Linked DNA regions of Kluyveromyces lactis. The protein of the gene in region 1 interacts with the protein of each later gene in a pairwise test. Links are inferred from orthologs where the notes say so. Each region holds a gene or a part of one and is shown on either strand. Other genes may lie near its edges.

Region 1 (3,421 bases):
ATATATTCGGTGACGGTATCGGACAACTCCTTGACTTCTTCTGAGGTCAATCTCCTATTAATCTCCAAATAGTTGAACAGATCATACGGTTCAATCTTTGGTTTCTTCTCACTTGGAATACCCCCCATAGACCAAGAGAGGGTTTTCAACCCCCACTTCTGTTCAAGAATTGCACTTACCAAGTGCTGTCCCGTATGTTGCTGCATATAGTCCAATCTCTTATCCCAATCAATTTCAACAGACACTTTAGCTCCGACTGGAACATCCCTATCAGTGATATGAACTGCATGCAGTCCTCTTCTGAATACTGAGGAGACAGGAATTGAGGCCCCAGTTTTGAGAAGGAATTTCCCAGAGTCACTAGGTTGTCCGCCACCTTCTGGAAACAAGATAGTATCCTGAAGTTCGATCTCAAAGGTATTCTTCTTCTTACCTACATCGCATGCAATTACAGTAGTCTCAAATTCTTTGGCCTTAAATGAGTCTCGTTGGCAGGCTAGAGAACCAACAAAAGTGTGGTTTGCAGTTTTAACCATGGCTAACGTTCCGACCAATTTTATGCCTCTTACCATCAGCTTTTATGCCGACTAACATGTTTTAAGTTCCTTTTTTCCTCTCTTCTTATCAATGATGTAAGTTGGTTAAAATATTGATTAGTAAATGATGTTCTGTTGTTTGTGCTAGATATGTACATACATATATATAACTGAGGGAAAAGCAGCAAATACTGGTTAACTGCTCATTCAATAGAAGTGCGTAGCGTATATTTATTTAATTAGGCACGAACGTACGTAGCGTCGATTTTTTGAAGCGATTCCCCCAAATTCAACATAATCTTTCTTCTGTACTGTGTAGGATTTTTAGTCTGTATTGGATTTCCTTCGAGATATATCGTTTCAAATTCAGGTAATTTCCCCAATTCTTCGCCTAGAGATTCGAACGGTTGATCAATTTGATTATCAGACGCCCATAGGTCAGTAAGATGTGTCAAATGCTTTAAGTTTTCGATCTTCGTAAGTCTATTACCAGTTACATCTAAAGTAGTTAATTTTAGGTTATTTTCAAGTCCTTCGATCTTCGAAATAAAATTGTGAGAGACATACAATTCTTCTAAGTTCTCCAACTCCTCAAGTCCTTCAAATTTCTTCAATTTGTTAGATTGGATGCTTAATATTCTCAAATTTTTGAGGTGTTGCAAGTTTATCAATTTAGGGATTGAGTTCTTACCCAACCATATCTCTTCGAGATTAGCCAAACCTTTCAAGTCATCAGGACCAATTTCTTTGATTCTGTTGCCACCAAGCTCAAGATTTTTCAACTTTGTAAGGGTTCCTAAATTTTCAATCTTAGATATCTTATTCTGGACGAAATACAAATTCTCGAGGTTTACCAATTTATCGACGTTCTTGATAGTTCTAATCTTATTAAAAGATAAGTCGAGTGTCTTTAGATTAGAGAAAAGATTAACGCTTTTCGAGATGTGTTTGATTCTATTATCGTAAAAATCAATCTCTTCCATGTTTTCTAACGGTAGTACCTCCAGTTCAGCTATTGACTCGATCAAATTCTGTCTTAAATATAACTTCTTCAAATTCTTAAATCTCAACAAATTCAAGTCTTCCAACGCCAGTACTTTCAAATGCACTAAGTCAATTACTTCGGTGTCATCTGGTATCTCTGCGGCCAATTCTGCATCTGCAGATATATAGTCAGGGTTGTGGTCTTCTATGACGTTCGATTGTAACGAGCGTCCCGCTGTGAACAACCCTGAAGATGATTCGTCCGGGGAATCAATACCAGTCTCTATTTCCTCATTCGTATTTTCATTATCAGTATCACTCAAAACTCTCTCTTCACGGCTCATTTTTTATATATTGGAAGTATATGGGTTCGGATCTAATACTAAATGGCGTTTATAACCATTGTCTTTACCTCAACAACCGTCTGTCTAAAGATGTGGTTTGCATGTTACATAACCTTAAAAATTGAACTCAGTGATCATTGGGCGCAAGGAAAAATGTTTGAATTACAAATCATATGACCCGATGGAAATCAAGTTCAAACATATGGAGTAATAAGGATATACAAATAGACGTTTACATATAGCACTTTGGCCATGAAACAGTTCATCAAAACTATCTTATCTTTCATTATAAGTTATATATGTGTGTCAATATATGTACATTCTTCCACATTAAATTCTGGTAAAACCGAAGGGCAACGTTTCGGATCCCAATTGCTTAGTTAGCTTCCGGGCTGGAAGCGATGTATTCCACAGTTTCACCGACAGACTTGAGCTCATCTGCAACCTTATCTGGGAATTCGATATCGAATTCTTCCTCAATGGAAACCAACAATTCAACGGTATCCAATGAGTCTAATCCTAAATCCTTGGAAAATTGAGTGTTAGCAGTAATCGAAGTAGCAGAAGCTGTCTTATCAAAAGATTTAATCACATCAGCAATACGGGTTGTGATTTCTTCTTTGGATAGAGAAGAAGAAGCATAGAACCTGGAAGCACTTGAAAAAGTTGGCTTTACAAATCCGCTTCTCAATCCAGAAACTCTGGTCAAACTTGGGGCAGCACGGAATACACTTCTAAACATCTTTGCTTTCCTTCTTTATCTCTCTGTAATATCACTAGACACTATACTGTACAGTAACAACGATCTGAAATAATCGAATGTAAAATAAAAAGAATGTACAACAAATGATCGTTGAAAATAGTTGTGGTAGAAAGGTTTAATCCAAACTCTCTCTCTGCAAAGAATTGGCTTTTGATCGATTTTTTACCGGGAAAAATTGCTTAGGCACATAAATCACTCCGTACGTTTTGATGTTTTCCTAAATGTATTTGGATTGTTATATAGACTACATGAGGTGAGAATTAGAACAGTTGCAGTGGGAGAAAGTTATTCTATGCTATCTTGTGCTTCTTAGCATGCTGATATGTGTGGTAGGACGAGATATTCTCGTAGCATGTGACGCTGCGTGAGATGGCGCGTTGCTTTTTGTAGTTCTATGGGAAGAGGTAACGGTGAGATCATGCATACTGTTTTTTGTTGCACTTCCGTTACTTCCAGCAGATCTGATAGAGTGGCTCTCTGAGAATATGGATCTTGACATTAGCATACTACTTCTCTTGGAAAAACTTTGCTGAGATGACTGGATTGATTTTATTCTTGCGATTATTTCGTCGTTGGTCTCGTTGATATCGATTCCGCTAACTTTGATCTCTTTTTCGAAATTCTTGGCGAATAAGTCCTTCAAAAGCGTATGTGACTTGCTTAAGCTGATTGGACACAGCTGTCCGTGTAGTGCGAGACAACGGTTTAGGACAATGGTCAATTCGTTGAACGCAGCAACTAATAATTCCACATCAGCAGGATCTAGTTTCGATTTGGTTTCTTCATCCGTATAG
Region 2 (2,759 bases), on another chromosome or scaffold:
AGAAGAATATGACATTGTTATGTCCATTATCAACAAGTTATTGGGAGAACTTCTAAGTAGCACTGACCTCAATCAATCCCTCTTTAGGTTGAATGACAACAGCGAAACGAATTACGTCTTAATGGCAAAGAAGTTAATCGAAGTGTACATCAACAACATCGAAATCTCTAAAAAGGTTCAGGCAAGAAACAAAGAAACATGTATTGTCTTGTTGAAACTAGCTGATATAAGAGCATCATTCCTAGCACGCCAATGGCAAAACACCCTACAACAGATTGAAGATCTCGATTTAATTCCGTTCACGGATGAAAGCTCGACCAGAAAAAGAGCACAAGAATTTACACATTTGGATGAGAATATATTAAAGAACATACCTAACCTGTTGATAATTACAATGCTATGCATTTCTAACATCATAAAGCAGTTGAACGAAAGTGATTACCAATCTTTGACTAAAAAGCAGCAAATCGATTCTCTCAAACGTGTTGCTAAAAATTGTATGATTTATGCTGGTATGATTCAATACAAAATGCCAAGAGAAACTTACAGCATATTAATCAATATAGAAGTTGGTTTGTAGCAGAGCTCTCATTTATGAGCACCTGAGTTATGTCAGAACCCAGACGTCCTACCATAATAGCATACAATAAAATAACCATGTGTAAGTCGATTGTTATTCGATATAATTGCCTGATAGATTATATATGCATATGTATATATATACATTTGAACTGCCAATTACCTTTTCAGCAGTGCATTGTTGTAGTGAGTAGAAGATGCAACGAAATGTACAAGAAGTGAAAGAGTATGCTGATCAAATTCCTAAATCATTGAGCGTCTTTTCTGTTCTTATCTCTATAAGCGCTGTAATCTGGCTGGACTTCGTATGCATTCGGACTTGGTGGACGTTTTTGCTCAAGCTTTTTTCTCCGCCTTTCGAGTCTTGCCTTTCTTCTTTCGTCAAAGCTTTTTCCCTCATCCTCGTCTGAAGAAGACGAAGATGATGAAGACGATGAATCATGTCCATGATTATGATCGTGCTCGCACTCTCCTTCCTCTTCTTCATCACTCTCTAATGGGGTATTAGGATGGAAAATGCAACAAATCTTAGTTTTCTTCTTGTTCATGTTCTCATTATCTATTACTTTCTCATCCCATCTTACTTTAGACTTGGTGTCCTTCTTCTTAGTTTTGTTTTTCTCATTCTGGCCAGCACGCAATTGAAGCAGCTGCGGAACCTCCGTAACAGTGACGGTATGCGTTCCTTCAGGAAGAGCAGAAGGTCCTTCACTCATATGTTAGGAAATATTTCAAAGTTTAATTATGATGATGGATCAAACTGATAAAAAAAGCGTGACGATAGGTAAAGTTTTCCTGTCTAAGTCTTGATAATCTTTCGTAATTTCACTTATCAAAGGACTGGGAACAAAGTATGAATAATGTAAGAAATCGTTTCCTATTTCTAAAATCTTCGGCGTCAATAAAACGGAATATTTTCTTCAACAAGTCGTGCTCTCGAGTATTTGACTGTACTAGACCATGGAGCTTCGCTTTGTATATGAGATATCCATGTATGCATAGAAGTACTCCAGTCTCATCTCATTTTTAAAGGGAAGAAAGAGGTTAAATATCTGAAGGTCAGAAAGTGGTGATGTTCGTTAATAATGACTACTAAATCCATAAGCCAAAAGAAAGATCGTAACTTTGTAATGCAGTGGCAAACAGTTTACAATTGATAAAGGTATAAGCAGATAATTCGTCAAGAATTCTCATCTCTGTACGTGTGGTATCCATAAGTCATTATTAGCAGTATTAGATACACAGTAATTGAAATCTACAAGACAATTGCATACTTCTCAGGAAAGAATAAGAATTTCAATTTGTTGGTACTTTATTAAGGAAGTATTATATCAAGAAACAGAACGCTGATACAAAAGCCAATTTATCGTCTCCGCAATTCAAATCCTTCAACAAAAGATGGAAAGTTTACAAAGAATGATGATGTCTCAAAGAGCAGGCATGATGGGTGCCAATGCCACCGAGGTTCCCCTTGATGACACCAAGGAAACTGTGTACATTTCTTCTCTTGCATTGTTGAAGATGTTGAAACATGGGAGAGCTGGTGTTCCAATGGAAGTCATGGGTCTTATGTTGGGAGAATTTGTTGATGATTATACAGTAAACGTTGTCGATGTGTTTGCCATGCCTCAGTCAGGTACAGGTGTTTCTGTCGAGGCTGTTGATGATGTTTTTCAAGCTAAGATGATGGATATGTTAAAACAAACAGGAAGAGATCAAATGGTTGTCGGATGGTACCATTCACATCCGGGTTTTGGTTGTTGGTTATCTTCAGTAGATGTGAATACTCAGAAATCATTTGAACAATTAAACAGCAGGGCTGTGGCGGTGGTTGTTGATCCTATTCAATCGGTGAAGGGTAAAGTGGTCATTGATGCATTCAGACTAATTGACCCTTCTACTGTCATGAGAAACCAGGAACCAAGGCAAAATACTTCTAATATCGGGTTGATCAACAAACCGAATATTCAAGCGTTGATTCATGGTCTAAATAGGCATTATTACTCGCTTAATATCGATTATCACAAGACTTCCGCCGAAATGAACATGTTAATGAATCTACATAAGGAACAATGGCAATCGGGACTAAAAATGCATGATTTCAAGGAAAGAGAGGAGCACAACTTGGGTGAAACTCAGAAAATGATTAAGATCGCTGAACAATTCACTAAGAGAATTGA

What was found.
Region 2: the proteins of SDS22 (region 1) and YPI1 interact in binary tests that used the Saccharomyces cerevisiae proteins (3 or more experiments, as listed by UniProt). The link is inferred for Kluyveromyces lactis from reciprocal best matches to the Saccharomyces cerevisiae genes SDS22 and YPI1.

What each region holds. Positions count from the first base shown.
Region 1 is NC_006040.1:237,275-240,695, forward strand, and holds SDS22 (type 1 protein phosphatase-activating protein SDS22), read right to left. Parts: upstream 1,865-3,421; coding exon 776-1,864; downstream 1-775. Other genes in the region: KLLA0_D02794g (putative alanine--tRNA ligase), read right to left, coding at 1-572; ACP1 (acyl carrier protein), read right to left, coding at 2,241-2,606; guanine nucleotide exchange factor DCK1, read right to left, coding at 2,923-3,421. UniProt on the Saccharomyces cerevisiae protein: Regulator of the mitotic function of yeast type 1 protein phosphatase.
Region 2 is NC_006041.1:1,252,034-1,254,792, reverse strand, and holds YPI1 (type 1 protein phosphatase-activating protein YPI1), read right to left. Parts: upstream 1,296-2,759; coding exon 828-1,295; downstream 1-827. Other genes in the region: linker nucleoporin NIC96, read left to right, coding at 1-580; proteasome regulatory particle lid subunit RPN11, read left to right, coding at 1,978-2,759.